Callithrix jacchus: one gene and its partner. The protein of the gene in region 1 interacts with the protein of each later gene in a pairwise test. Links are inferred from orthologs where the notes say so. Each region holds a gene or a part of one and is shown on either strand. Other genes may lie near its edges. The genes, in order: CCDC158 and GPSM1.

Region 1 (4,389 bases):
AAAACAATAGCAACTTATTTGTTCATAATTCTGGAGGCCAGAAGTCCGAAATCAGTCACATGGGGAAGAAAGCATGGTGTTGGCAGTGATCCCTTCCTCCCTCTGGAGGCTCTGTGAGGGAATCAGTTCATTGCCTCTTCTAGCTCTTTTGGAGCATTTGGTGACTTGTGGCCACATCACTCCAGTATCTGCCTTGTGGTCATACCACCTTCTCTCCAGCCTGTATCAAATCTGCTTCTCTCTCTCTTAGGACCTTTGCGTTTGCATTTAAGGCCCACCTAGATAATTAACGATAATCTCTCCATTTCAAGTTACTTAATTACATATGCAAAGGCACTTTTCCCTTATAAGGTAACATTCCCAGGTTTCAGGGATTAGATCTGATATATTTGAGTGGCCATTATTCAGCCTACCATATAATTTGGGGCCGTCTAGCTGGGGGACAGGTGGATCACAAGAGGCTCTGTTTAATAAATGATGGAGGTCTAAAGTGGCTCTGACTTTCTAGATAACACTGAGTCCTCATTGTAAATGCACAACAACAGTAAGGGCTTTGAATACATACAAATAAATTGCTGTCTTCAATTTATTTTGGAAAATATATTAACTACATGGCATGGAAACCATTTCACACATGACACAAATAAGATAACCGTATTAAGATTAAAAACAATAAGCACAGTACAGAGATAAGGAGGACCACACCTCTCTCACCACTCCTCCACACCTCTCTCACCACGCCTCCACCCCTACCCAATGACCTTCCGCACAGAGAAACAGTCCTACCTAGCATGTCTCTGGGATATGTGGAAGCCCTGGTCCTTTTGTCTCCCTTAGCCTGCTGCTGAGAGAATCAGCAAGAACTGGTCGACAGTCAAAAAATCTGAGCAACAGCCACCCTCACTTCTACTTTCCCCTGACCTTGGAGTTCAACATGAGGCACAAACAAAACCTGGAGCAGCCTGAGTGGGCCTGGGGCAGAGTGTTGTGGAAAAAGATGGAGACTTTTCAGAACTCAATTGGGCTGCTAATGGGGGAAAGCTCTGACCCCCACATGTGGTTTAAAGACAGGGCTCAAGCTCAAAGGGCCCTTGCGCCAGCGTTTAACACCATTCCGTCTTGTAGGCAAGGCTGTCTGTCCCCTTTACCACCAAGTCTTCCCCATCTCCTCCCGCTGTTTGCACTGCGCGGTACACACGGAGTCAAAAGTCACATTGGGGCCGGTTACTTGGTGATTCTCTTCCCCACAAATCAAATCACTTTGCATAGGCCTCTGTGTTCTTCGAGGTCCAGGTTCCAGCGCCACAGTCCCCAGGGGTCTGGCGATCCCGGAAAACAACAGCAGTTCATTCCAGTAAAGAAACAATTTATTGGGCATCTACCATGTGCAAAACAAACACGAAGCACTGGAAGATTCCAGAAATGAACACGAGTCCCTCCCGGTCCTCATAAGAACCCCACCCCAACCACACCATCCCGGTCTCGGGCCGCGCCCCGCTTGTACCTGCTACTAACACCTAATCCTAAGACACCCGCCGCATCTCCGCGGGGCGCCGGCCGGCACGGCGGCCCAACCTGCGTCGACCGGGCGGCGGGACGCGGCGGCTCCCCACTCTCCGCCCCTAGGCCCCGCGGCAGCGGCAGCGGCAGCGGCGGCTCCTCCTCCTCCTCCTCCTCCTCGGCGGCGGCGGCGGCGCCGGAAGCTGCCCGCGCCCCTCCCCCGCGCCCGTCGCTCCTCGCGGCGGTGGCGCTCTGGGACCGTTGGGACTCTCGGCAAGGCCTCGTGGTGGGGGGTAAGAGAGAAGGGGGTTGTGCTCGGCCGCTGCCCAGTAGGGACCACTCGCACGCGCCTGCGACTCCGCCGGGGCAACGGAGCTCCAGAGTCCCCATCACCGCCCCGGCGCCCTCTGGGAGCAGGGTGAACCCAGCCCGGGGTCAAATCCTAGAGCCCTGTCCAAGAAACTACCCTGGCTTCGGGCCTGCACTCGGCGCCCTCTGCCGCTCCTCCTGCTGCCTCCTAACTGGTCTCTAGCCCTACTCTTGCCCCCACCTGAGTGCCCTGGGCCACTCTCGCAGCTGTCCCCACCGTGGTTTCCCAGATAACCCACTGACCCGCACCAGTCCCGCACTCTTAACTAAGAGTCAAGCCCAATCTGGCGTTGCCCGTCGGGCCTCCTCCTCTGACACCCCCACCCCACCCCCATTCCCACTCCTGGCATTCCCATTTGACCATTTCAAGTTAACAGAATTCACATTTTACAGCTCTGTTTTCTCTGTCCCCGAATGTTTTTCAAGTTCATACGTGTTCTCGGCATAGCTGACACTTCTGCCTCTGGAGACTTGTTCCCGCCGCTGTGTTTCAGTTACTCTCTGTCGTTATCTCTAATAGAGAATTTATCAATTTCTGCAAGCACACCCAGCGTCTCTGTGCTGCCCAAATTATCGATCAAATGGAAGGCATCCAGAAAGGCCAGGGTCTGATAGATGCAGGCTGAGGCATTTAATTCTAGCAATCACATTGTGCACACCTATGACAAAATAACTTATACATAAATTGACTAGAAATACTAGTCCTGGGCCGGGTGTGGTGGCTCACGCCTGTAATCCCAGCACCTTGGGAGGCCGAGGCGGGTGGATCACGATGTTAAGAGATCAAGACCATCCTGGTCAACATGGTGAAACCCCGTCTCTACTAAAAAAAATACAAAAAATTAGGCCAGGCGGGGTGGCTCAAGCCTGTAATCCCAGCACTTTGGGAGGCTGAGGTGGGTGGATCACTAGGTCCAGAAATCGAGACCATCCTGGTCAACAAGGCGAAACCCCATCTCTATTAAAAATACAAAAATTAGTTGGGCATGGTGGCCGCACCTGTAGTCCCAGCTACTTGGGAGGCTGAGGCAGGAGAATTGCTTGAACCCAGGAGGCAGACGTTGCGGTGAGCCGAGATCGTGCCGTTGCACTCCAGTCTGGGTAACAACAGCAAAACTCCGTCTCAAAAAAAAAAAAAAAAAAAAAAAAACTTAGCTGGACATGGTGGCGCGTGCCTGTAGTCCCAGCTACTCAGGAGGCTGAGGGAGGAGAATTGCCAGAACCCAGGAGGCGGAGGTTGCGGTGAGCCGAGATCGTGCCGTTGCACTCCAGTCTGGGTAACAACAGCAAAACTCCGTCTCAAAAAAAAAAAAAAAAAAAAAAAAACTTAGCTGGACATGGTGGCGCGTGCCTGTAGTCCCAGCTACTCAGGAGGCTGAGGGAGGAGAATTGCCAGAACCCAGGAGGCGGAGGTTGCAGTGAGATGAGATCGCGCCATTGCACTCCAGCCTGGGTAACAAGAGCGAAACTCCGTCTCAAAGAAAAAAAAAAGAAAAGAAAAAGAAATATTAGTCCTACATTACATAATGTAATGACAAATTTTAATAAAAATAGATTAAATGCCATTAAAGATTGTTTATCATGTCTTTGTAATCCATTCATTGGCTCAGAGAGATCTAAGATTACCTATAGACTCAAACATTAAACAGGAAATGAAACCATAAGAATTACATAGAAAGGTAAATAAATTAAGTTTTGTGGTTAGAGAAAAAGCAATTTCTAATTGTGTATTTTTTTCTTTTTCTATCAAAACATGAGCGTTCCAATGACCTAAAAATATTTTCAATACCTAATATATGGTTACCATTGGTGTCTCATTTTGTGCTTGTACCCTGGACACACACAAAAAGGGTTTTGTCTTTTTAAAGTCTTTAATTAAAAGATGTGTTTGAAATTATCTGCACCCACAGATATGTACGAAAAGTTTGTGCCCCGATTTTACTATAAAGTCCATTGCATTTTGAAGTGTCCTGCAGTTTTACCTTACAACATTTTAAAAATGTTGTTTTAAAAACAACTTCTTAGCTTTTTAAATCAAGAATTAAAAGATCAAGAAAGGGATCCAAAATCCTTTTCTATTCACTAATTCCACCCATATTTACAGGGGACCTGCCACATGCTACTCGTAGGTTTTGAAAATAAATCAGGGAACAATAAGTCCCTACCCTTGTAGTGCTTACATTCTTGTAGAGGAAGATGAGCAATGCATGGATAGAGTTCAAATATGCCAGATGGGGATAAGTGTTGTGGAGACAGAGCTGGGAGGTTAGGGAGTGTGGGGTTGACGTTTCATAGTGTAGTCTTGAGAAGGCCTCATTGATAAACTGACATTCAAAGGAGACTTGTAGGGCAGGGAGGAGGGATCTGTGTGGATATTGTGAGACAGAGACTTTCAGGCATTTGCTTGGTGTGTTTGAAAATCAACCCAGAGGCCAGTGAGGACTGAGCAGAGTGGCTGAACAAGCAGAGGTTGGGTGTTGTAGTTATTTAGGGCCCAAGTCACCAAGAGCTCTTTAGTTA
Region 2 (4,255 bases), on another chromosome or scaffold:
CCTCAGCCCTAGCCCCGCTAACAGAATTGCCACCTGCCCCTCCCCATGGCCATCACAGACATGCTGGCCCCTGTGCAGATGCTGGAGACCCTGCTCACAGCTGGCTCTATATACCCCATCCCCCCAGCCAGACACCCCTGGGGAAAACCACACTGGCTCCCTTTCAATGGCCGGGGGAGGGGAGAGAGTGAGGGGCAAGGACTGGGTTGGGAGCATGGTGGGAGGTGGAATCCCTGGAGTGGGAAGGTGAAGGTCACCAGGCTGTAGGAAGCGCCTGGGGTCAGGCTTGTCAGGAATTCCTAGGGCCCATGGCCTTCAGGGATGGTGCCCAGGAGGGGGACAGAGGAGGGAGGAGGGACGAAGTGAGGTGGGGTACCATGGTCATGTGGCCAGAGGAATTGGGGGGCCAACCCACACCTGAGGATGTCCCATCTGGGAACTGGTGAGGGCTGCTTGAAGGGCGCCTCTAACAGGGTCACCCCAGGTGGGTTGCTCTACTGCCCCCTCCCCGTCCCAGCCCCGGGGAGCACTCAGCTGGCCTTAATGCTGCTGGGAGGCCAGGAGAGGACCACACAAGGCATCCCCACTTTCCGGGACCTTCTCAGCCTCTGGCTTGTCCTCACCAGGCCCCTTCACCTCAAAGCCCTGCTCTGGGCCAGGGGGGACCCCGTGCAAATGGGCCAGAGTTCTCAGCACTAACCGTTCCAACTGAGCCAGCACCCAGGGCCCTTCCGCTGAGCCCATCTGGGGACTTGGTGGATTCACAGGCACGTTCATGGCCTCTCAGTGTGTCTTTCAGGCACAGTTCCCTATTTAAAAACTGGAACTCCCCTCTCCAGGAAGGAATGTCAGCGTGAAAGGGGGTGGACGGGGCAGAGGAGAACTTGGGCCAACCTGGAGCCACATCCACACTGAGGGACCGGGGTACGGCCCCATGAGGAGCATCCACACAGATGCCAACCACCTCCAGGGCACACCACACCCACCGCCCACCACCCACACCAGCAGGGCACAGGGGGTTCAGGAGACCCGGGACTTTTTGGCTCTCCAGCCCCAGTGTGACAGCAAAGGGCCCTGCGGTTTGGCCCACAGCCTCCACTGGCCCAGCACGCCTCTAGGCACTCAGGCCTGCCCCTCTGAAGCCAGCTCTGACCAGGAACTGCCTGCCCAAACCTGGCTTTGGCCGAGTAATGGTGTGTAGACTCCCCTGGGGCTTCCCCAGGTCTGGGCCTGAGTCAGCCCTGGAGGTCAGCTGGACTCCCCGTTGAGGGGACGTGAGGCTGGGCCTGGGGTCTGAGTGGCCTCTCAGCACACTGCTCCTGCCCAGGGCTGGCTCCTGGTGTGTCCCCGAGGGACCCCAGGCTTCCAGATGGATCCTGGAGAATGCCCGACCCTTGGTCAGTTGTGCAGGGCTCACCCAAGGCTAAGGTCCTGGACACGAGACTCTCACAGCTCCACACACACACTTTCACAGTAACACACTCACACTCACGCACTCCAGCCAGGGCTGCCATCAACCCCTCACAGCACAGCCGCCTGAGCACATGTGGCCCCACACAGCCAATTCCAAGGAGGGAACCCTTGAGAATCCCTTAGGGCAGGCCCCTGGCAGCAGCTGCCAGCAAAACACTCTCACACCCCTCCCCTGCATGGGGCCCAGGAGCCAGGCTAGGGGACTCAGCGCTCCATCCAGGACCACACAATGGGGCCGTGTCTGGGACCAGAGCACAGAGCAGACCAGAGGCAGCAAGGCCTCCGTCCACCGCCGCCAGAGCCACATTTTGAGTGCCCCAGGCAGGGGCTTGCTGCTTGGCTGGGGCCACAGAATCCTTGGGGGCCAGGCTAGGCCCCCCCAGGGGTCAGCATCTGGGACCCCTATCAGACAGGTCTCCAGATTTAGGGATGTCCAGAGGACAATGGTGTCCCTCCCACTTTGGAGAGCCAGGCCTACCTCTGAGGGCAGCCACCCATTTGTGAGCCCCTGTCTGGACCTCCGGCCGTCTGGCTCTGCCTGAGGCTTGGCACCACCCAGCCTTACTTGAAGCATGAGGCACCTGTCCTGGCTGGGCCCAGGGCACCCTCAGGGAACAGGGGGAGTCACCAGGCAAGCATGCCACCTAGGGCAGGGCCATCCTGTCATCCCCACAAGGCGTGGGGCACAGAGCCCAGCCACTGTATCACACGGGAATGTGCCCGGAGGACAGGTGCCTTTTGCGGCAGGTACACACCCACCTGGCTGGCTCCGACTGGGATCATGGAGGGATGTTGAGGGGCAGAACCCCATTCACAACAGCCAGTCTCTTTGGCCATAATGTCCCTGAGTGCCCCGGACATGGCAGGGCCAGTCTTGGGGGTCAGTTCCCCACAGTGTCCCTGCCAGCTGCTGGGAGAGTGAGGCTGGAGAAGCTGCCCGCACCCCCCCCAACATCCGCCCCTGTCCCCTTGGCTTGGGGGAAAGAGGGCTGCAGGGGACGCCCACGCGGGCCACCCGCCGGACTGGGCTCGGCCTGGAGGGAGGGGCCGTCCCCGGCCACGCTGCGCGCCCGCGGGAGCCGCCTTTGTTCCCGGTTCCCGGCCGCCCCGGCCCCAGCCCCGGCCCCAGCCCGGCCCCGGCCCATCCTACCTGGAGTAGAGGCGCCTGGCGGCGGGGCCCTGGAGCTCGTCGGCCGCGGACGGGGTCGGGCCCGCCATGGGTCGGGCGCGCGGGAGCCGGGGGCCCCCCTGCGCCGTGGCCGTCCTCCCTCTGCCCGCCCTGCTGTCCGCCCCGCTGTCCGCCTGTCGGTCCGCGCCTGGTTCGCCTGTCCTCCCGGGGGAGGCGCCGAGGAAGTGATGTGCGCGGGGCGCCGCCGCCCCTCCCGCCGCCGTGGCCGTGATGTCAGCGCCGCCCGCGCGGGGAGGGGGCGCGGACCCGGCGGCCGCCGCCGAGAACCTCCCTCTGCGGGGGGGGCGGGGCAGACGTTGGGGGAGGGGCGCCGCCGGCCGGCAGTGCCCCGGGAAGGGGTGGGGGGTGCGGCCCCCAGCCCCCTAGGGTCGAGTGCAGGGGAGAGGGCTGGGGCCTGGCCTTGCTACGGGTCCCCTGGGGGCTCTGGGCGCCCGCGGGGGTCCCTGGGTCACAGTGCAGCCCGGCTGGCCTCAGACTCATTCCACCCAAGGCTGCCTGGTGAGCCCGGGCCTGGCCAGCGGTGGAAAGGAGCTGCTGAGCCTCCTTGCCTTCCTTGGTGGGCGCCCCCCTTTTCCCGGGGGTCCTCCCTCCTCTTCTGCGCCTCGCTGCACCCCTCCTCCAAACTCTGCCTCTGGCCATGGGGTGCCTGCCCTGGGGATGCTGCCTGCCTGCCTTAGAGAAACCGGGGCGCTGATGACAAATACAGGCTCTGCTTGGCCGTGGATGGTGGTAAGCCCTCCTACCGCTGAGACCCTGGGTGGCCACGTCCCCCTCCCAGGTGTCTCTGGAATGGGGATGAAGCCGGCCCATTCCTTCCTCCCGGCTGTGGAGGCTTAGGGAGGATGCAGGTATCACAGCAGGCTGTGGCTACCCTGGGTCCCGGGACCCCAGCCCCCTACCACCGCCTTCTCCTCTGAATTCCTGGAGCCCTGGGGGCTGTGCTGTGCTGTGGCTTCCTCTCCACCCACCCTCAGCTCCTGATGGCTTGAGGGGTCCTCCTCAGACAGCCAGGCCCGCAGCCGGCCTCACCCAGTTGTGTCCACTCCCCACCCCATCCTGGGCCTTCTCGGGGTGTTGGGGCCTTTTCAGGGGTCCAGGCCCCTGAAAGGCAGCTGTGATCCCAGGTGTGACTGGGACCAGTCCAGGAGCAGGAAATGGGCTGCACTCCTCCTCTGGGAGCCCCTCCCTGAGAGAGCTGCTCTAAGGTCAGGAAAGTGCCACCCTGGCCAGACCCTCAGCAAACACCACCCACGGGACAGTGGCTTCAGGCAGGCAAGGAAAATAAACACGAGGTTAAAACGGGGTCTGTTGGTCCCAGGCTGGTTTGTTTTTCCTGTGTAAGGGAGGCAGTGGGAATGAGAACCATCTGTGCCCTGGAGCGCAACTCGAGGTGCTTCTGGCTGCTGGGCCCACGTGCCCTCCCCCAAAGACCACAGAAGCCAGGCAGGGCCTTGCTCCCTCCCAGCTTGGGCTGAGGCTGCTGGCTGGCAGGGGCAGTGGGGCTGGCTGCTGGCAGAGAGCGGCCTGCCATTGGGCTCAGCCTTCAGGACCGCCTCCTTTGGGCTTTGGGCCCCCCTGAGCCGCCATGATTAT

Evidence for each region.
Region 2: the proteins of CCDC158 (region 1) and GPSM1 interact in a two-hybrid assay, tested with the Homo sapiens proteins (2 studies listed by BioGRID and IntAct). The link is inferred for Callithrix jacchus from reciprocal best matches to the Homo sapiens genes CCDC158 and GPSM1.

The regions. Positions count from the first base shown.
Region 1 is NC_133504.1:121,635,707-121,640,095, reverse strand, and holds the start of CCDC158 (coiled-coil domain-containing protein 158), read right to left. Parts: upstream 2,995-4,389; 5' UTR 2,869-2,994; intron 2,385-2,868; exon of another isoform or gene 2,254-2,384; intron 1,794-2,253; exon of another isoform or gene 1,732-1,793; intron 1,673-1,731; exon of another isoform or gene 1,505-1,672; intron 1-1,504.
Region 2 is NC_133502.1:184,802,472-184,806,726, reverse strand, and holds the start of GPSM1 (G-protein-signaling modulator 1), read right to left. Parts: upstream 2,801-4,255; 5' UTR 2,692-2,800; coding exon 2,624-2,691; intron 1-2,623. UniProt on the Homo sapiens protein: Guanine nucleotide dissociation inhibitor (GDI) which functions as a receptor-independent activator of heterotrimeric G-protein signaling.